3 linked regions of the Yarrowia lipolytica genome follow. The protein of the gene in region 3 binds, or shares a complex with, the protein of the main gene of each other region. Links are inferred from orthologs where the notes say so. Each region holds a gene or a part of one and is shown on either strand. Other genes may lie near its edges.

Region 1 (7,507 bases), on a different chromosome or scaffold from region 3:
CGAGTGATTGAGGACTGTATGATGAACATCCACCCCATTTACCACATCAAGGAGCTCATGATCAAGCGAGAGCTGGCCAAGCGACCCGAGCTAGCCGAGGAGGACTGGAGCCGTTTCCTGCCCCAGTTCAAGAAGCGAAATGTTGCTCGAAAGAAGCCCAAGACCATCAAGAACAAGGTTCGAACCGCTTTCCCTCCTGCCCAGCTGCCCCGAAAGGTGGATTTGCAGATCGAGTCTGGAGAGTTCTTCTTGGGTGCCGATGAGAAGCGACGACGAGCCGACGAGGAGAAGCGACAACAGCAGGCTGCTCGAAGTGCAGAGAAGCAGGCCCAGAGAGAGCTGGCCTTCATTGCGCCAGACGAGGACGAAGAGAAGGCCAAGAAGGAAAAGAAGAAGGAGAAGAAGGAAAAGAAGGAAAAGAAGGAAAAGAAGGAGAAGAAGGAGAAGAAGGAGAAGAAGCGAAAGAGCGATGACAGCGACGATGAGGGAGAGAAAAAGAAGAAGAAGAAGAAGCGATCCGTGGAGTAGCTTGCTTGTTCAGTAAAATAGATTTGTAATGCATAACTTGGTTAAAATAAATTAACTAGCTAGGCTAGAGAGCTATTCTAAAGTGCACCAACCTCGACCATCATTAACCTGGTAGTTACACAGTCCAGGCTCAAGCCAGAGACTGACTAGACCAGCAAGAACAATACCGGCAGAATCACTCATACCAACACTACCAAGAGCAAACTCTCGCTCTGCCAAATCAGCCTGTTCGGTAATCAGCAGAAAGGTGTTGACATAGGCAGCTCCCCCAAGCAGCCCTTCGTAGAATATGAGAATGAACACCAGCCAGACGTTGGGTAATATCGGTGACATAGACTGTGCAATGCAAAACACGAGGTTGGCAAACTGGAGCACTGAGGGGATCATAATTCGTCTAATTCTCACAAATGGTGCACTCGAACGTGAGATAAATACTCCCAACTGGTATAGTGTTCCATAGGTCACATAGACATCTCTGAACTTAGAAAAGGGCAACTCTTCCATGGGAAACAGAAGTGTGGGTGCCACTCCCTGGTTGATGGTGTACTCGGAAAAGTAGACCAGAAACAAAGGCAGCATGTAAGGCATAACCAGCGGCTTCAAACGGACCATTGTAGTTTCGTATCCAGAAGCAACAAACTCCCAGGTGATTGGCTGTGTTTCAATACCTGTTTCAGGGTCATTGCTGTGCACAGGGAAGGCCCCTGGTACACGGTTATAATCTCTAGGAGGAAGGAGATAGAAGTAGACTCCTAAGAAGGCCAGGGGAAAGAATGCAAAGACAAGCAATGACGTCTTGACTGAAACTCCGAGTACCGTGGTCAAGAGCATGAACAGCCCGCTACCCACTAGCCCTGCACCTCCAGTTCCGCTGCTCCACCCATTGAGAGCCCTGGTATCGTAAAAATGGGTTAATTGGAGAAAGGTGACCTCGCCCAGACCGGAAGAGAAAGAAGCCAGCACCACTCCCACGAGTTTGAGAAACAGAGGAGATGCTAGTGACACAGACATCATTCCCACAGTTGACAGGCCAACCAGCAATGTTATTCGGCGGTTATAGGGGATTTTGTGGATAAAAAATGGTGCTGCCAGCTTTATCAAGAACGATGGGAGTACGTCGGCCAGTAACACCACGGCCTTGGGTGTTTGAGGTCCCACCAGGTCTACTGCGGCGGTCAAGATAACCACATAGAGCACGTTGTTGACCAACCCAAATGTCCAAAATGCGGCGTACACAAGATGAGCAGGTTCTAGTTGCATTATGGTTGCTGAAATGTTCAATTCCTTGACATGAGTGTGTCAGTGACTTTTCGAGTATGGCCGTCGCTGGGTGGCTGGAGAAGTGTGACTGGTTGTTTATCAGTGAGTGTCGCTGTTCTGTGAAGCCAATTATCCCAACACGCATGGGACAGGCAAGTCTAATATGTGGAAGTGTGTGGTGTGTGGAGGGCGTGAATATGTGCATACAATAGCTCGATACATTACTAATCGAAATCGATATATTAACCCTTTATCCATTCGATAAGCACCATTATTGTACATTCTAATGGTAAACACGCCCCCGTTTCTACTGACTACAAGTAGTAAGACTACAAGTAGGGGTGGCGTTGGGTCGTGTGAGTGAACCCAGAGCATGGCGTAGTCAGCCCTATCACATACAGTACACTACAGCACGTAGCTACTTGAAACCATTGCAGTTTATAGATTATAACTAGAAATTCAGTACATGTACGAAGAGTATGTCGGGTCATTACACTGTTCAATACCTGCTCCGAGCCGAACATATCATTAACTTATCCCAGTACATACTGTACACCTCTGATGGCGCCCCATTACAATTGCTAAGAAAAACGACAGCAGCATCTCACTTCCACCACAACATAATATACACTCTATTACTATCCAATTAAATAGTGACCTCGGGCTTGGGCTCCACCTCAACTCCCTCTCCTCCGTCAAGAGGGTAGATAGAAAGCAGGTTAGGGCCTCGAATGACCGCCAGACCGATCTCTCGCACCTTGCCTTCCTTTTGACCCTCAAACTCGGCAAAGTCCTCGCTCTCCTCGTCCTCGTAAATGGTCTCCTTGACGTCGTCGAGAATCAAGTTCATGAGCTGATCCCAGCCCTTTAAGGTGCCCTCGATCTTTCGGCCAGTGACCTTGACAACCACTCGCTTGTTCTCGAATCGAGACAGATCTAGAATGGGCTCTCGCTTGGGGAATTCCAGCTTCTTGGACTGGCCCTGGTTCTGACCTTGGCCCTGGCCCTGGTTCTGGTTGTTCTGCTGCTGCTGATTCTGTTGGTGTTGCTGATTTTGGTGCTGGTTGTGTCCTCCATAATGGCCAGCGTTGCCATGGCCGCCTCGGCCGCCTCGTCGCTGTTGTTAGTACGTGTGAATGGATGGCTGAGCCTTCGATCCGCTATACTCACTCCTCCACGGTTGTCGTGTCGGTCCATTATTGATGATGATGAAGAGTTGTCAACCTGTGCGTTAGGTTATGAGAGAGAGCTAGTCCCAGGAAGTTTAATTTGGGGGTGTGGAAGGTGAAGTGTTGATAATACGACAGTTGGTAAGCTGAATATATACGAGTCTGGTCTCATTTGGAAGCTACTCGTCCCCTTAATACATCAACATAGATATCTTATATAGATGTTATGACTTTCGAAAGATTACCCTCTAAAATTCTCAACTTCACACCAACAACCCCGTTGGTGACCCGCCAGAATACTCCTAATATCAGCCCTCATTCCGAGTTGAAAGATATTCTGTCTCTCCATGATATGGGTCTTCTTTTTCGTTCATCTTGGAGTCCATTTTTTCGTTTTCAATCTGAGACTTAGGTTATGAGTACATACCCCAGGGGCGCAACTTTATTCCCGCTTGTTCTACAATATTAAGCTATTGTACCCATTATTAGTCAAACATTAGGCGACCAAGTGGATTGATTTCTGTTCAAGAAACAAAGACCGAACAAAATGTGACATCCGTATTCCATTTATTGATTAGTTTTGTTTACATGAGCTTAGTGTTTCAGGCAATTTCACAAACAAAATCTGTTAACGGAAAAAATACTATAATTAAAGTTATTTGAGAAATGAAGACATCCTGAACAATATGGTTGGCATAATTGTTTAGTTGGTGAGAAGACCCTGGAGTCGAGAGTTAAGACCAACAAGCATAGAAGCATCCTGTCGGAAACCGGGGATAATGTCTGCGAGCAGGTTACCGGCCTGGTTGATAGTAGCGATGAGGCCCTTGATGTCATCGGCAAAGGTGTTGACCAACTTGTTCTGAGAGATGACAGTAGAAAGAGTGATCAGGAAGAGACCAAGGTTGGTAATGAAGGCATTCAGGCCAGTGGAGATGAACATGTTGACGAGAACCTTGGTCCAGCCAGCAAGTCCATTGTAGTTCTGCAGCCACTGGATGAGCTGGTTGAGAGCTCCCTTAGCCTGGAGGATGGCCTGGGTGATAGCAGCGTTGGCCTGCTGGGGGGAAACGTTCTTGAGAGCCTGGATGGAGTTCAGGAAGAGAGATACACCAGCGTTGGTGAAGCTCTGGAAGACGTTGAAGAGAGAAATCCAGTCCTGAGCAGCTCGGGCGTCGAGGGCAACAGCATCGTCAACGAATCGCTTGGCGATCTCGCTGTTTCCGCCGAAGTGAGCCTCGACAACCTGTCGCATCTGGATGAGGCCAGCCTCCTCAGGAGCGGGGGCAGCGAGGGCAAGAGTAGCCATGGAGGCAACGGCGAGCTTGGTGAAAGAGACCATTGGTAATGTGTTGATTGGAGTGAATAGAAGAGAGAAGAGAAGAAAGGGTAGTTGTTTTCTGGATATTCGAGAGGAGGATTTCGGTGGTTTATATAGAGTCCTGGAAACAGGGTATCCATTCAATGCCATTGTATCCCACAGCACCTTGTATGACAAGGTATGGCTGAGTTAGAGTCCCGCTACTGCAGAGACACGGAATTTGTGCGTCAGACCCATAGGCAACAAAGAGCTCGTTTAGGTGACTACAGGTCTATGGTTTGAGTCTACTTACCTCGGTAGGCAGTGTAAAGCCGGTTTTGGAAGGTGTCTATCCGACTCGGCGGACTTGGATGCTCACCCAAGACAGATGTGTTGCATTGTTGAGCTTTGCTTCCAGGTACCTACATTGTACATACGAAGAATGGGTGTTTCATAAGAATCGCACACTACAAGTAGCCAACGTTGTTGATCACCGCGTTGGTTGACGTGGTTAGGGCGGTCAGTGCTAAAGCTATACCTTGAGCTTCTCAGTCCCATGGTTAGGTATCCAAATACCAACTTCAACACACCCCTGCAATGTCACTTTGACTTTTTGGTGGATACTTACAGAGAACTATGAAGATTCAGGGAGCTGAGTGGCCTGAGATGGATCGTAGGGACCTTCCAATGTGCCTGGCTGCTCTCTTAGAGACATTTCTGTCATTTTTTACATATACGCCACAATTATAATAGGAGAGCAACGTAAGTATGTCTGTATAATAGTTATAGCGTGTAGGCGATTTCTGTCTCAACATCAAGACGCCATGTTTGTCTGTTCCGACCACTCTTAAGCTACGGTACTACTTTGCTTGTCGAAAGGTGTAACGAGCTGTACGTTCAGACTAACGAAAGACTGCACGGAAGTTCTACTACAAAATATAGCGAAAACTAGTAGTAGCATTGCTCAAGAGATGTGCACCTGTAAGTTGACAGAACGCACCCGCCGGATTGATGACCCCATGATCTTTGTAACCCTACTGATTCGGGCCACACCTTAGCACTAAAGGTGGATCTCCATGTACGATTAAACCTAACTGCTATGTGCGCCTGATCAATGCAACTGTGTCCGATGGATTTGTGTTGCTGACGTGAAAGTCGCATCCACGAAACTAATGCCGAAACGGTCTCGTTTTGCCGCATTGTCTGTAAATAAACCGCAACGGATACTTACTTGCAACCACGGGGGCAGATATGGTGTCCCATCTTGTTTGCAGCCCACAGTAGTATGCAAGTCGAGACTTTGGCTGCAGCGACTCCTGAACCTTGTCCCAACGCCATCAATCAAACAATATCGAACAAACAACCACATAACAAGCGCTTCTGTAAGCGTGCAACCATGTTTGGTTGACATATTTCGCTATAAAATGTGGGGTATCCTCTCCTCACTTCTTTTGCACTCTATTTCTGTTTTTTCGCCCACTCAACTCTCGTTCCAATATGCCCACGTTATGCCTTGCAACCCCGGTTTTAACCAAGGGTTTGCAACCGAAACCCTATCCGGATATGTAGCTTGTTGGATCTGGGATGTGAACATGGTGCCCTGTCAGTTACAAAATAGTGTCTTGGTACAATACAACAGTTTTCTACAGGTGACAGTTCACCGCATTAATTGACTGCTTGTAGCTTGACACCACCGCAGCCGTCGAGAATCCACAGGAGGTCATCAACCGTATCTGGGGATCGTCAGTGATCAGCCAGATTTACGATGACTTTCACACCTTGTTGAGCGGTCGACTCTGGTCATAGAGCGTACATTAACCATAATACAAATCTATTGCGGACATTTATTACCACCCTCCTCTAGTCAGGTACAATTGACTACTGTAGCTATGGCGTCGGCTTTGTTGGTGTGGCTTCCATACGCTAGCAGTCATCATCAGAGCAACAACGCCGGAAGTCTACAAGTGTCGTTTATTCGTTCTCTTAGTCTGGAATGAAATGGTACCAACTGTCAGTCTAAACCGAACACCCCACCGTCAGTTATCGTGGTATTGTCACCAATTGGCCGTTCGAGGGTTACAATGAACGTTAGCATCATTCTCGAGCTAGCGTGTTTCCCGTTCCGTACGGTGTCCATTCCTACTCTCGAGCATATGCGTAGCAATTCTCACATTCACGTTGATATCCACTCGGTAACTGCTTTGTTCAATCCCTACATGCTGTCTCAAACCATGTGCAGGGTGGCTGTTTCAGTGATACGGTGGGCCTGTCGAGCCCTGCATCTTAGGGTTCCGTTAGTGCTTCACTAAAGGGCGCTTAAAAATCCGTCTCTTCCTGGCCGCCTTAGATTGAGATCGTCGTCGCCATATTGTATTTTTGAATTCGGTGGATGTATTGCCTCTTGAGAATCCTTCTCCATTTCTTTGTCGCTGGTTTTCAGTTAAACATTTTGCGGGGTCATAGACACAAGCTCTCCCTACTGATAGGCCCACCATCCCCTCACCCCCTCCTTCAGAAACAATACTATTGTTGAAGTGGCCCCGATGATGACAGTCGTTAATACAACGGCGTCTCGATTGAGTAACAAGGGTGGTGACGGTAGCAAACAGCTAAAATGGATGGCTGCCTCTTTTTTTTTCCCAGCGTGTTCTGGGCATGATAAGCTACACGTACTGTAGAAGCTACTGGGGTTGCAAACCCCAGCAAGTAGCTTGGTTTATTCTTCTGTGCATGAAAGTTACGAGTACCCTTGCGTCGGGCTTGATGGACACTATTGACAGTTGACACTTCAATGTGTGGACAATGCTAGCTACAGAAGGCTCCTTAAGACCGGGATGTAAACGTGCATACGTACTGCTTCCATAATCCTCTGCGACGTCACGTTTTCAATATTTGCGTCGCTTGTGGTCTTTCTAGCAGTTGCTGCTCTGCTACAGTATACACAGACAGTAGCACATCCACTAACTTCACCTTTTGAACTCTCCACATCTTCGATAGTCAATTAAACGAATGTAACCTCAACCTCAACGGTTACTAGCGGCCCGCGAAGTTCTCAGCTACTTGTAGTCAACCTCCCCCAGAGCAACCCTTCCATTGTGTTGTACCCGCCGTTAATTGGCGCAAAATTATGTACGGGCTGGTCCTCCCCTCATTGTCTCTAGACCCTGCGTTGGGTTGAGTTTCTTAGATATTCTCGATACTCAGTCCATACTCGTACTCATACTGTAGCTACTGTACTCAATTGAGTGGC
Region 2 (7,147 bases), on a different chromosome or scaffold from region 3:
ACGTTAGACGACACCGTTGTGGGTGTGCAACCGCAAATAATCATGCCCACAAGCACGTATTTATCGATTCGTGGATCGTCAGCCGCGTAGATAGCCTTAACGAAACCAAACATGAGAGCAGGTGTGACCAGAAATGATAGCCCTTGTGTTATTAAGTGTGCTCGCCAGTTGCCCAGCTCCTTGAGCAGGGTTCTAGAGGGCATGCTGAGCCCCGAAATGAGGAAAATAGCGGCTACTGCCAGATACTCGATGGTAATATCTGACCGGATCATACCTCCTGATCTCGCGTAGTTCGGGGCGGCATATGCGATGGCAACCGCTACTCCCATGCCTATAATGAACCACTGTGAGATCAAGAAGTTTATGACCTTCATCAACTTGTCGACAAGTTTTCCCATTCTGTTCCGGTCGGCCTTGTATCGGAGTTTTGTTGAGTATGCGCGTAGAAGAGAGTTGAAGAGCAAGTAGTTGGAGAGCCGCCGTCAGTGTTTCTGTGTTTCTGTGTCTCTGTGTGTCTCTGAAATAGAAATAATAAAGCTCTGGGCAGTCGTGTATGTTCTTGCAAGAGTTATACCATACCGAACGGATGGATCTACATTTTAATAGTCATGCTGCTTTGTGCCTGTTGTGCATAAATGCTGCAAATGTAAATTCGCTACAGTTGTACTAGCCTGTGTGGGAGACCAGGCAAATGTGTTGCAATAAGTGTGATGAAGTGAAACCAAGTTACTATATGAACTTACAAGGTCACATATCGCAGTATCGACTCTGTTCCTCATATAAGCTGTTCTCAAATTCGCTATAATACTTCTTATGCATCAATGCCGGGGTAAAACCCCAGCCGACACGGCTCCTGAACTTTGAGCAAGCCGCAACGGAGTTAAGACTGGCGGTTGAACCTTGGCTCGTTACCAGGAGATGACTGACTGCCATCGACAGAGACAGTGACATTTTATGACGGTAGTGCATACCTTTGGTTGTGACGAACTACTTGCAGAAACTACTTGTAGAACTTGACAACTTATGTGACCTCCTTATTGAGAGAGTGATTCTCTACCACTCACCTCCATCAGCGAGCTCTCGTTTAAAGTGCAAACTGTACCCCCACTATAAATGGCACCTTATACGAGGTTGGTGGCAGGTACAGTATTTGCGCTTCTCACGAAAGAGAGGTTGACGGGGTGCAAATGGCCAGAGGGCACAGTATATCCGACAAAATCTTGACACGGGAATACTGTTCAAAGTTTGCTGAAGAATGTTGGTTGTATTCTTAAGCAACTTTCCAACTATGAGAAAGTCATAGTTGAAAGTCTAGTAAAGATACTAGTAATGTGGGGGTTCAAAATATGCAGAAAAAAAAAAAAACTTCTATCCCGGCACTGATAAAGAATATGACAAAGAAAAATCCAACAGGCTAGGTAGAATTCGTTTTATAGTCATTAAATATTACCAAGTTCCAGATTATAGCTCTAAGATCCCGAGATTAGTGCACACTCATTCTTTCTCAAATTGCAGATGTACTAAGAAAGTACATACTGTAAAGTTATGGCAAGTGATCCGTTTAGGGAGTGTTTTACCAGAACATACCCCATTGTTCGGATGTCACAGCACATACGTGTTCTGGCTTTCTGCGCAATGTAAGCATCCGAAGGTGATAATTTCTATCCATCTTTCCTCGTTATCATGTCTTCTCTACAACATCGGTATCACTCTCTGGCCGCCAGCATTCACTCACTCCAGGAAATTTCATTCCCAGTTTTAAACCATCGCCATGCATATGGAACATTGAACACACCACACTGCACAGACCCACGAACGACACATTCTTTCAACAGCATGGGCTTTCAGGATTGGTTTGCGCAAAAGTCGCGCAAGTGGGCGGCACTGCGCCAGAAACCGGCTATGAGATTGTTCATCTGGTCAACATGGATCCCTGTGGCAATATGTTTTCTGGACCACGCCTACTTTCTCGGCCATATCAGCGGCAACAGCATGACCCCTGCTCTGAACCCCGACTCAAATCTTGGCAAGCGTGACATTGTGCTGTTGCAGAAATTCCTAATCAAACAGCCCGGTTACCTCAAGGTCGGAGACGTGGTGCTGCTGCGAAACCCCATGGATCCGGATAAGTTTTTGTGCAAGCGGATTCTTGGAGTGGGAGGCGACGAGATTGTGACCCGCCACCCGTACCCGCAAAAGACGTGCTTTGTGCCCTTTAACCACGTGTGGGTCGAGGGCGACAACATCCATTCGTTCGACTCCAACAACTTCGGTCCAGTGTCACTCGGTCTCATGCATGGCAAGTGTCCCAAGGTGCTGTGGCCATTTAACCGTTTTGGAGCTATTCCTGACGGAGGACGAGAGGCCCGGAAGGAAAAGTTGGGGTATGTTGATGATGTTGTTGAGGGCTAACTGCGGAGAGCGTAACGAGCCGTGGTTAGAAGCGACAAGCTCCATTGCAATCCTCTACCACTCAGAGACTGTATATATTTGCATTTGACGATTTGATGACTAATTTCAGTAAGTCATGATGAACCAATACTTGCGTAGGGTACTTTTGGACAGACAATACTGTAATGTACTGTAATGTACTCGTAGTGGAGATGGTTTCGATCTACAAGTACATACTGTAATGGAGGTTGAGGTAACCGTAGTTACATCCTCTTCCATGAAAGGCTTTGTACGCTCAGACAGGCTACACAGCATTCTCATCAGCCGTAACACTCATGAATTGTACACTATCGTCAGTAGTACAGTTGTACCCATATACAACATTTACTCCCACTCATACACACTACCCACTATCTGTTATCATATCGTTACTATATACATGACTCTTATATACATCACTCCTTGGGGAGCTTGTTAAGGAACTGGGCAGGAATGTTCTCCAGAATGTCCTGCTCGGACAGATCCAACTTTTTGTTCTTCAGAGCCTCCTCAAACACGGCGGCGGCGCCCATCTTCTCCTCCACAAGATGTTGCAGCACCCGGATGGCGTTCCAGGGAGCCACGGGCAGAGGGTTGGACTCTCGGTACTGTTTGATGTAGCTGAGGGCCTCGGCGACTCCCTCGGTGGTGTCATTAGCCAGGAACATGAGGTACTGCTCAAAAATGTCTCGCTTGGGCTGGTGCACAAAGCCGTGGTTGGCAATGGGATTGCCGTTCTCGTCGGTGGCTCCGCTGTATCGCTCGTACTTGAGCTTGGCACCGTACTTGACGGCCTCGATAATCTTCTCGTCCACCTGCACGCCAGCGTTGGCTCGGGGGTCGGTGGAGAAGCCGTAGTAGGCGACAAGGTGTCGCTCGAGCTCCAGAGACAGCTCGCTGTCGTAGACGGCGTCAGCAGTGACGTACTTTTCGTCAAATTCGGCGTTGGCCTGGGCTCGCACCTCGGGAAGCACCTGCTGGACCTCCTCAAACGCTCTGTATCGCTCGGCCAGTACGTGTCGAATGTTGACCATGGTTTCGCCGACTCGGTCATGCTCGCTTCTGTAACCACCGTTCTGGTTCTCAAAGTGCATTCGGGTGGTGACTCGTTCCTCCTTCAGAAGAATGTTTCGCTCCTTGAGACACACGTACCACAGAGCATGGAGATCCTCAAACGACTTTCGTCGCAGCTCGGCCACACTCCAGGGTCGCGTGCTGCTGTCAAAGCTCCGCTGATCCCGTACAATTTTCTTGTCCTTGCAAAAAAACTGCCACAGAGGATGCGAATCGGGTACCTCGATATTGTCCAGAGCAGGCGCAATAGGGGCCTTGAGCTCCAGCTTTTTGACAAACTCGTTGCCGGTCACGGAGCCGGGCAGCGGCTTGGGCCACTTCTTACGACCCTGTCGAACAGCCGATGTGTGTAGCGATCGGATCATGGTTGTGTATGTTCTGTTGGATACAGTCGTCAGTTGAAAAAATCGCTTGGGAATCTGGAACTTTATTCTCCCACAGGATTTCACCTCCCAAATTTCGCTCGGTAGGTGCTAGCAGAATAGGGTTTCATGTCATGTGACGCGTGTAGAGAGGATCAGTAATAGAAATGGTCTTCAGGGCACCTAATTGTTCATTAAAAAGATGTCAAGTCCTTAACATCTGACTTCTTTCAATGTCAGGACTTCCAAAACATGATGGTCCCTCTTCCTTGTGATGTTCGGCACCATATTCTCTCTCTACTGGTACAGTATGTAGTTATACCCACTCACATTTCTACCCACTACTAGTGCTATACTTACAGTCACCTGAAACGGTGTTGACGCTATATAGACCGACCACCATGCGACATACTAGACACCTATTAAGAGATCAGTTACACTAACGACATCCCCTGTTGCAACCACTACCTCCTATCATACCAATACCACATCGTCTTCTGCACATCCAGCTGCCACCTCTACACTCCTCCCAACCTACCCTAACCCCATACTCTCACCATCTCAGACACTAATCAGCATCTATCGACAGACACACCACACATCACAATGACCGACGTCGACACTTCAGGCGGCTCTGAGCCCCTTGATCTCATTGGTCTTTCTCTCAACGAGAACGTTTTCGTCAAGCTCCGTGGAGGACGAGAGCTTTATGGACTTTTGCATGTGAGTAGCAATGTGAAGGACAATGAGAAGATGGCAGGCAAGTCAAGATCGGTATGAATCGGATACATATCCACTGAACATGATACATGTGTAAATGTAATGTCTGTTGCTGTCCGCTAATGACCTGTCCTAGTCCATTCTGTTACTAACCCAGGCCTACGATATCCACTGCAGTATGGTGCTTGGAAACGTAGAGGAAACAGTCTTCGAGTACGTGGAGGGCAGTCCAAAACTGGAGGCCCGAAAGAAGAAGAGCGAAATGCTTTTTGTTCGAGGAGACTCGGTCATTCTGGTCACCTCTAACCCCCCGAAGCGACCTTAGGGCATGTATTATAGTAATGGATGGTTTGAATAGTGCAAGCTTGTGAGCGCCGTAACCTGGCTAGAGGACGTCTGGAAACAGGCGCCCCTAGGTGTATTCGCATGAAATTGCGGTGTAAGGATTGTGACAATATACAGGTTCTGCATAGATCGTCCTATTCTGAGTAGAACATCAAGGTCGCTACCGTTGTCTATAGAATTTCAAAAATGGTTAACAGAGTCAGGATCACAAATACTTTTACTTGCAATTACAAATAGGAGAAATGTCAACTACGCCAGCATTCACCTCACGATTTATGACAGTATATCTATTTATACAAGCTATTTTATATACGATGAACGATGAACCTCCCTAAATACTATTTCGCCGGGCAATGGTTCTCTTATGTTTGGTCTTAACATTCTCCATTCCAGGGATAGCAGGAAACTTGCCATCCTCTCGCAACTCGGTCAGGAACTTGTGGCCGTACTTGTTACCTACCCTATAGATGTCAAGGAATTTGGCGAAGTCAAGAGTAGCAAAATCGTCAATGGGGGGACGCATGTAGATGACGCCAGGGGTGTGCTTAGCCTTCTCAAGAGCACCCACTGATGATACGTATGCCAACCGAGCCTGAATTTCTGCCAGGTTGGGAACATTAGGATGTCGACCAAAGGGATTCCATCGGTTCCACATGACCCATGCACCAGACAAGGAGTCACCGTAGTTCATGGGAGTGGTATCGTCGATAGATCCGACATCTACGGCAAATACCACGGAGGCTCCCTGAGCCTTCATCTCCGAAACAGGCAGGTTATCAACATAACCTCCATCCAACAACATAGATCCATTGTCTGTCAAAGGAGGAAGAAGACCAGCAAGAGACATACTTGCTCGAATGTATCTCCACGCATATCCAGATGTGTGGATCTCCATTCTAGAATGAGTAATGTTTGTCGTGTTAGTGAAGTATCGGAGCCAGAAGTCTTCGATACGGGAGTCGCCAAAAGCTTTCCAGATTCCTCGGTTGAACTCGTGACCAGTGGTGTATGAGGTGGCAGGATAGGTCAGATCCAAAGCCATACGCCAAAGAGAAGATACTCGTCCAGAGAACTTCTTGGCTCGTCCATAGATGGGCACCAGATCGTATTCTTTGGCATAGAGCCCCCCTATGAAGGAACCGATGGAAGTACCTCCCACGAAATCAATAGGAATACCAGAGTCTTCGAGAGCCTTGATAATTCCAATATGGGAAATACCTCGAGCTCCTCCTCCGCCAAGAACAAGTCCAATAGCTTGTCCAGAGAGGATTCTGGCAAGTCGATTGAAGTCGTCCTTGTTGGCCGAAGACGTGCTATAGATGTTAGCCTTGGGGCGGTACATGGAACGGAACTCTTCTTGGATCGTTTGGACCTTGTTTTTGAGGTTCGCGAGGGTTCCTGTTCGCTTCATCTTTCGGATACTGGCCAGGACATCAGCTTCATGACGAGGAAGATCCATCTGAACGTGATGATGGGTGTGAACCCACACTCGAGGCTTCAACCACGCACTAGTGAGTCCAGGAGGAACGTATCGTTCAGGGTGAATGAGAACCATCTCGGTTCTGGCAGTGGTTCGCATCTTCACCAGCACACGTTCGTACTCACCAATGTCAGGCTCGGAACGAGCGTCAGCGACAAGCAGAACACAATCAGCCTGAGAAATGCAAGTATGGGTCCATGAGGAACCAGGAGGGGTATCTGCAACATACAAAACAGTCTGGTACCGGTCCTCAATGTCATCAAGGAAACCAGACAGCTTCAACTTACCAAGAGGGTTGAAAGCATGTCTGCCCATATGGTTAAGCACAGAAGCATGGTTCAAGTGACACGCTTCTCGTCCCACCGCCTGCATACCGTTGTAAAGTCGTCGTCCAAACTCACTCACATCAACATCCTGAGAGATGGGAACAACAGCGATAGTCAAGTAACTATCATGGTGGGCAGCCATATCAAAGGTGTGCATTCGTCGGGGAATCGGAGCGGAGTCTTCCATTAGAGTACGGACTCGTGAAGCCACAATTCGGGAGATCTCAAAGGTGATACTGGGGTAGTGGAGGGCCAAAGACTCAAACAGAGCTCTGGGAATTTTGGCCAGCTCAGCATCTCGAATGGCAACGAGAGTAGAGGGACGTCTGGTAAGTGTTAACACCTCCAGCTCGCCAACAGACTCGCCCTTTCCATATTCTCCGATACTGGTGAGATTCTTTCGATGACTC
Region 3 (7,392 bases):
CGATGCTTCACAGGATATCGCCTCCAGACTCGATACTGACATGGACGGAGAAGACAACAAGGATCTGGCGTCACGGTTCCAGCCTCGAGATGAGAGAGACAAGGGCGGACGTCGAAGAGGAGGAGGCCGACGACGGGCCCATGAGCTGTTTGGCTAACAATTGTATTTTAAGGGAGACTGGTAAGGGTATGGTGATAATAAAATTATTGAAACTTGGACAGAATGAGAATGTCGGTAGTGTTCACACTGTACTATGGCTGTGTATTTTAATGTAGTTACTGTTGTGTACAACTATGTACTATTGCTGTATGTACTGGATGCGTACTGTACCGTAGTTGTGACCATGATTGCGTACTTATTGCACTCTTAATCTGATTACTTGACGTTGGTACTCCAGGTTAGATAAACTTTACTAATACCCAGATCACGGCATGCAGCTTGGTGACGGTTAGACCTTTTCTGATTACATACAACATGGATGGATTAATTGCCAAATACCTCCAAGATAAGGGATACACCAATGTGAGTGATGCGACGGCGCAATCGTTCTCCCTTTGATACTAACCCAGACCCTGGCTGCTTTTGAAGAGGAGTGTGATATCAAAGATGAACCTGTCACCATTGAAGAGTGAGTACGATATAGACGAAATAGTGCTTTCAAGTGACAAACCCGATGTTGTCCTCTCGTGGCGTACATCCTTTCTCTGCCTTTTCTAACCCAGATTGATGACCTACCTGCCGAAAAAGGAACAGAAAGACGACAATGTAGTCACGGAGGAAGACGTCACCCTGACTGTGCTGTCAACCAAGTCGAAAAACATGATTGTGGACACAAAGCTCATCGGTGGCAGAGTTGTCACTACAGATTCGACCAAGAACTTGACCTTTTACAATACTACTCTTCTGGAAGTCAAGAACCTCACCTTACCGGCTGTAGGACGAGTCATCGTTGCTGGAGCCAATAACACCACTCTGGTGGGATGCATGGATGGATCCATTGTCCAGGTGGATTCAGAATACAAACCCAGCAGTTTCAAGCCACATTCTCGGTTTGTCGGAGGAATCTCTGTTTCTGAAGATGGACTGATTGCGTCCATTGGCTTCGATAAAAAGGTGGTGGTCACGAAGCAGGTTGGCTTTGAACAGGTGGCGTTCATTGACTCACTGACTAACCCCACAGCGATTGCATGGACTCGTAATGGGCTGGCTGTGTCTCGAGAAGACTGTACCTCGATTCAACTTCTCTCCGACCAATTGGAGAAGCTCAGAACTATTCCTCTGGTCGATGCCCACTATATGCCCCACTCATTCACCGTGTTTGACATGGTCTACAACAACGATACCAAGGAGATTGCCTGTCTCACAAGCCATACGCCCTACGCAAGGGTCATTATTGTCAAGTCTGACGACACTGTTGTTTCCTTCCCTACTTTGATTCCTCAAGACAAGTACAGTCTGGGACGCCTTAGTTGGTTGGACGAGAAGACTCTCGCCATTGCTGGAGACGACGGCTCGGTGCGACTGCTCAACCAGACTACGTGGCGAAAGATAAACGTGGCAGGTTCGAGATTGCGATGCATTAGTGCTGGTGATGGCTACGTTGCCACTGCCAGCATTGATAAGGAGATTGAACTAATACAGATCGAGTCTCTGGGAGATGATCTTGCGGGGCTAAAGCTCGAATAAACAACCAAATATTGCTGTCAGATTACATACACAAGTAGATAACCTCGTAGTGTACATTAAATTACATCGTCCTAGACCGACCCATACTATCTCTCTCCCTCAAGCAGAGCCTTCTCGATTCCATCAAGAAGCCCGTCGATATCCTCCACCTTGACACCGCAGCTCATGGCCACCAGCCGTCTGTACTCGTTCATCTTCTCGCCAACCCCGGCATTGGCGAACAGCTCTACCACGTCGTCCACAAGATCCTTCCGTCCATGCTGGAGGTCTGTCAGCTCCTTGGCGGTCTTGAACTCGCCCTTGGTCTGTTCACGCGATATCTCCCGCTCCTCCTCGGCAACAAGCATGGCAAGGCCCTTCGCCTGTGACCGCTCGAACACCTTGCGTAGCTGGTTCACCCGTGTAGTCACACGCTCTTCAGCCTCAGAGGCAAGTTTCTCGAGCTCCTCGGCGGTGCCATGTTTGGCCTCATACTCCCGGATCGCCTCGTTGGTAGCGGCAATGTCTTCCTCCATCTTGGTGGCCATCTGGCGCACCTGTTGCACGTCGGCGTCCTTCTCCTTGAGCTCGGCATCAAAGGCGTGAGCCAACACTTGCAGGTTGTGCACTACGGTTCCGGCAAGATTGTGTGCGGCAATGGCAGTTTCGCTCTCGTGCAGCATCTGGTAGGGAGGCTGATGGTGGAGTGCCATGGCGGGCGGCGGGTGTTGCTGCATCTGTCTGTCGCCCTCCAGCAGATCCAGCGCAGTTCGACCGTCGGCATTGACGATATCTGTCTTGACATTGAAGTCCATGAGGGCACGGGACACCTTTTTGGCACCTGAACGGGCGAGAATATGCAGGGCGGTGTCGCCCTCGTTGTTCTGCGTGTCCATGAATTGTGACAGTACGCCTAGAGAGTGGTTCTCGCTAATTTTTGACAGCAAGATAGTCACGTAGTACTTGGCCGCGGACTGCGACTTGCTCACGTGCTGGGCAATGTGGTGAAGCACGGTTCTGCCCTGGCCGTCCACCTGAAACAGGGTGTCTTGCAAGATGTCCACCACTTTAGGGAAGGTTCTTCGGTCGTAGTTGTTAGTAAACATGATGGCCCTCGTCAAAGGTGTCTGGCCAAACATGTTGGTGGCTCGCACGTCCGATCCGGCCTTGAGCAGCAGCTCAATCACCCGCAGGTGGCCCATGGCACAAGCCCAATGCAACGCTGTATGGCCCTCCTCGTCAATGGGTCTGTGCACATCAAACTCTGCAGGTGGGTTTTCCAGGAACGCGGGGATCTTCTCGTCGTCAGCAGACACGAAGTAGTTGAGCAGGTCGTTGGTGTACAGATCCTTGGGGTCCCGTACCTGTATTGGCTTGGGCTTGGCCATCATGGGTCGAGGGTAGTTACCCATTTGTCGGTCAACTTCTTCATCGGACATGAAGTCGGACGAATCGTCAGCAACTGTGGGAGGCGATGGAGTCACGTGGTCGCTGTCGTCCAGTCCGTAAGACTGGGCCAGTTGGCTGAGAGACGACTGTCTAGAGTGTTGTGGAGTGCCTCCCATGGTGGATCCCGTTGACTGGGTGAGAGTCTCCATGCGACTGGGCTGGCGAACCAGAGGCGATCCCGTCACCTTGGTCCGCTTCTTGCGCTCCAGATTGGGTCTGTGTTTCGGTGCGGGAGGAGGTGAGCCATCCTCGTCGTCGTAGTTGAAGATGGGCGCAAGGTGTGAATCAACGTCGTACAGCGTGGCAATCTCTCTGGCCCGCTCCAGGGGGACCCACGTGCCCTGGTACTTGCCGTAGCCGCCCTGGACCTTTTCATGGACGCCCTTCTGGACCTCCTTTTCCAGAATCCGCGTTCGCTGAGGCTTGTCGAAGCCAGCGACCTTGAGGATGTGGGTAGCGTTGACCCAGCCGTCGGATTTGCGCCGCATCACGGCCACATTCTTACACTGGAACTCGTAGACGGGCACGCCCGAATACGTTGCTTTGTAGATGGACATGGTCGCGTAGTGCGTCGTCGTGTCGCGTTGGCGCAATAATGGGTTTCGGGTTTCGAGTTACCCTATGTGCTGTTTTGGACAACGAGAAAAGCCGTATGTGGGCTGGGTGTGCAGTATCGTAGCGAGGGTAATTTGGAGTCCCAGCTGGGAGGGAGCCAGATCAGCGGTTAGAGATATATAAATATATACTTGTTTGGCAGTGACAGAATGAATGTCGTGGGTGTGAGGGTTGCTTTTTTTTTTCTCTATATAAATCTCGTATGGCCTGCCCCTGGCGCTCCGCCTTACTTCTATTATCGTCTTATCCCTGCGGCAATTCCCAATTGGTGTGCACCTGAGTCCTTACAGCTCAGGTTACGTAATAGTTCCCACCACAAGCACACACCTAAACCATCATCACCCAACCCTAGCCCCAAAATATGCTTTTTCACCGCCAGCACCAACTGTCACCATAATCCACATCGATGGTGAGTATTGATACAGGCGTCCTGGGGCTCACGTGGGCCCCTCTCGATGCGATACGCACCGGCCCAACCGTGGGCAGACAGACCATGACTAACGCAGCTACCCTTATCCCTACTCAACGCAGCACAGGGTCAGCCCATGCTGGTGGAGCTCAAATCGGGCGAGTCCCTGAGAGGCCACCTGTTGAAATGTGACCACTGGATGAACCTCACGCTCAAGGAGGTCGAAGAGTTTTCTGCATCGGGCGAAAACACCGCCACCGTGTCCGAGTACTATGTACGAGGCTCCAACATCAAGGCTCTCCAGCTGCCAGACGAGCTACTGCACAGCATCAAGCAACAATACAGCCAGCAGCGGGAACAGCGACAGCGACAGCAGCAGCTGGAGCAGGGCGGCCAGTTTGGCAACCGACGAGGCAACCGAAACTACAACAACCAGAGCAACAACCCCAACCAGCGACAGCGAGGTGGAGGACGACGATATTAGACGTGTTTGTGTCCATGTTTGAACGCGAGCGCTGGCTACCGAAGGCCACGACCTTCCCCGATCTGCAGATGGCTACCATGTGTGAAGTTCCGCTTGATAGCCGCCATTCTGCCGATTAGTAATGTATTTTAGGAGATGATTGATCTAGGGGATTGTAGGTGGAGATAGTAGTAGCTGTAGACGAGTGGCGGTGATGGAATTGAGTACAATCGGCTTACGTAGGGGGACAGGCTTTGTACGTACTTGGATGATTTGGTTGCTTTCTCTGTGTCGCCACAAGTTCTCATTCGAATGTAAGTGATCACGTGGACAGAACTGTACCAGTACAAGTACAGGTGCCCGTGGAAGTAGCTTCTGTTGAGAGTTCCATTCTATTTTACAAGTAGTAATTGGTGGTGCCTGACTAGCTATAGAAGGAAACTTATCGTGGAACATGTGTGTGATAAAAAAGTTGGATGTTGGATCCTCGTCGTCGTTGAAAGTCTTTGTAGATGCATTACAATGGTTACCTTCTACCATCATACAACACCAATACCGATTCTTGTACACTCAGTGAGTTTCGGAGCAGAATTCTGTAGCTATTTACTGCAGTCCATTATCGCCATATTTGTTAGTTGCTACAGTATTGTACATACTTGTCATTGCTATCAGTCATACGAAGTCTAGCTATAGCAACCAAGTCTTCCACTGCCAGGTTGTGGTTGATATCTCTCGTATTCGTACCCGTGTGCTCGCGCGAATTGTTCTCAGATATCCGGTCATATGGAACTGCTCTAACTCCTACTCGCCGTCCTGCCACAAGCGACTGTTCGAGACTTTCACTTCACATCCAACGCAGAATAGTACGAAGTTACAGTTGCTCGGATTGCGGTGTTTATCTGGCTCGTCATGGGGTTTATATGAGGGGATCCCACAAGTAGACTATCACAGTGGTTTTAGAGGGAGGAAGGGTCCGTTGTGATTGCACGCAGTGGTTCATTGTACCTAAACTGATGTCATTGTTATCATCACTGGAGTCTACGACCCATCTATGTATGAAACGTGGTATGTACATACTGTAGCGAATGCACTGGCCATGGTCCGTCGGTCGGAAATTAAACGTCTCAATAATGTAGGAAATAACCATAAGCCATATGTTTAAAAGACTCTTGTGGTGTGTACCTCCGTAGAGCAATCTAAACGTTGGAGGAAGCTCTTCCGAGGCCCAGCTCGGTGGTCTTCTTCCCGATGTGTTGGATGTGGTCTGAAACTACAGTGTCTTGATAAGCATTCGGCGGTCAACTGTGTCGCGCATTTGGGAGGCTTGCCTCATGCTGCAAAGAGTAACGGTGCTGTACCCAAGCTTTGTATTTTCCTTTCTTATTATTCTACTCATTATTCTAACTCTCGTATGTACTGTACCTTGATGAAATATATATCGCGGTCTACTGTAGTCTACTGCTGTGGTCTGGCACAAGCAGGCCCAACCCAAATAGGCAGGAGGATTCCCAAAATAGCATAGCAAGGCAGACCCGAAAAACATAGCGCTTTTTGGCGAGCTCTTTTATCGATATTATATATGTTATGTTGCAGTGCTAGTTGAATTTTTTTTGCGCAGGCAAAAGCGGCGGTTTCGGTGGCCCCATTATTTCCGTCGAAACGGTAAACGTGCGGGCGTGTTGCTGCGGTTACTGCGCCACTGGCTGGGTCACGCGTGTGCCGAACTACAAGCAGACGCTAAACAAATTGCTTAAAAAACTTTTGTCCAAGGCTCTTCGCAGTAATCGATCCCCTCATCGAACCTTTTTGCGTCTCAGTCTCAGCACAGCGGATAACAGAAAAGGAAGAAAATAAATTAGAGATTGATGATTAGCACCACAGAGAGGCTGTGATAGCACAGGGTCGTAGTGGAATATGTATATATGGAGCTGTGGGGAAGAGTCCGAGTGCTTAAATACGGGATTTTATCCGCTTACTTGGGTCTTTGAACCCCCACCGCCAAAGTCGATTTTACTGTCTTCACACTATTTTACAGCCGACTCTGCCAAAACTTTATGGACTCCTGAAAGCCTTGTCTCGACTCAGCCCTCGAAACCAACTCTTACGGTCAGATAATCATGACGGGGACCAACGTGGTCCAGTATCTGAGCAACAACGATTTTGGTCGGTCCTACGCGGCCAAGCGGACAAATGTGAGTACCGGAGAGCGGGCACAGAAACATGCTCGATGGCATGAGACGCGTCGCACCAAACAGGAAGGAGAAACATGTCAGACTATCTAACACAGACTCTGCTGGCCACCATAGCTCCCGCGTTTGTAGCTTTTGGAATCCACAACCAGCTGTCACCACAACTCCACCTCACATCAATATGCCGAGCATTTTTCCCGAGACTCACGTCCGGACCCGGAGTCTCGCTCGCAGACGAAGTGTGCCAGATTTCGGCCATCCATACCCACTATACGACGTTTGAAATCATGGTGGCATTAGCGACGCTCGTTCAGATCTACACGGCCTTCAAGATCTTGTCGACAAGCGACGCAAAGGGAAGAGTATGGGGAGTACACATGTGTGCCATTCTGGCCACGGCATCCGTCGGAGTGGCCTGCTTCACCTATGCCCTGGGATTGCCGTACCCGGTCTATCTCGTGTCTGTGGCTATGCAGTGCGATAAGTCGGTGCTGGCTCTGGCTGCCATGTACCTCTGTGACATGACCAACGACGAAGAGAAAAACACAGAGCGCATCTCGGAGGTGGCAGAGAAACGGACCACAACGGGCTTCTTTGCAGGC

Evidence for each region.
Region 1: the proteins of YALI1_A20849g (region 3) and YALI1_F37998g are in contact, whole or in part, in a crystal structure (PDB 4M78), measured with the Saccharomyces cerevisiae proteins. The link is inferred for Yarrowia lipolytica from reciprocal best matches to the Saccharomyces cerevisiae genes LSM4 and LSM7. Residues at the interface, in NP_011037.3 of Saccharomyces cerevisiae: Glu23, Asn31, Val32, Asp33, Asn37, Leu38, Thr39, Glu45, Leu66, Glu68, Ile69, Tyr70, Ile71, Arg72, Phe75; in NP_014252.2 of Saccharomyces cerevisiae: Ile27, Leu28, Lys32, Tyr33, Arg39, Lys41, Leu58, Met59, Gly96, Thr97, Leu99, Val100, Ser101, Leu102, Ser103, Ser104.
Region 2: YALI1_A20849g (region 3) and YALI1_B14686g share a complex: the UniProt entries of both Saccharomyces cerevisiae proteins name them as parts of the spliceosome U4/U6-U5 tri-snRNP complex. The link is inferred for Yarrowia lipolytica from reciprocal best matches to the Saccharomyces cerevisiae genes LSM4 and LSM3.

What each region holds. Positions count from the first base shown.
Region 1 is NC_090775.1:3,796,902-3,804,408, forward strand, and holds YALI1_F37998g (uncharacterized protein), read right to left. Parts: upstream 2,986-7,507; coding exon 2,959-2,985; intron 2,906-2,958; coding exon 2,435-2,905; downstream 1-2,434. Other genes in the region: YALI1_F37963g (90S preribosome/SSU processome component KRR1), read left to right, coding at 1-528; YALI1_F37986g (uncharacterized protein), read right to left, coding at 601-1,788; YALI1_F38013g (uncharacterized protein), read right to left, coding at 3,661-4,428. UniProt on the Saccharomyces cerevisiae protein: Component of LSm protein complexes, which are involved in RNA processing and may function in a chaperone-like manner. Component of the cytoplasmic LSM1-LSM7 complex which is involved in mRNA degradation by activating the decapping step.
Region 2 is NC_090771.1:1,464,154-1,471,300, forward strand, and holds YALI1_B14686g (uncharacterized protein), read left to right. Parts: upstream 1-4,472; coding exon 4,473-4,589; intron 4,590-4,743; coding exon 4,744-4,911; downstream 4,912-7,147. Other genes in the region: YALI1_B14645g (uncharacterized protein), read right to left, coding at 1-398; YALI1_B14658g (uncharacterized protein), read left to right, coding at 1,684-2,412; YALI1_B14680g (mitochondrial 54S ribosomal protein uL29m), read right to left, coding at 2,847-3,869; YALI1_B14733g (uncharacterized protein), read right to left, coding at 5,263-7,147. UniProt on the Saccharomyces cerevisiae protein: Component of LSm protein complexes, which are involved in RNA processing and may function in a chaperone-like manner. Component of the cytoplasmic LSM1-LSM7 complex which is involved in mRNA degradation by activating the decapping step.
Region 3 is NC_090770.1:2,081,715-2,089,106, reverse strand, and holds YALI1_A20849g (uncharacterized protein), read left to right. Parts: upstream 1-4,135; coding exon 4,136-4,138; intron 4,139-4,235; coding exon 4,236-4,622; downstream 4,623-7,392. Other genes in the region: YALI1_A20902g (uncharacterized protein), read left to right, coding at 1-157; YALI1_A20884g (uncharacterized protein), read left to right, coding at 727-1,686; YALI1_A20855g (uncharacterized protein), read right to left, coding at 1,773-3,671; YALI1_A20839g (uncharacterized protein), read left to right, coding at 5,056-5,165, 5,214-5,583; YALI1_A20822g (uncharacterized protein), read left to right, coding at 6,719-6,793, 6,889-7,392. UniProt on the Saccharomyces cerevisiae protein: Component of LSm protein complexes, which are involved in RNA processing and may function in a chaperone-like manner. Component of the cytoplasmic LSM1-LSM7 complex which is involved in mRNA degradation by activating the decapping step.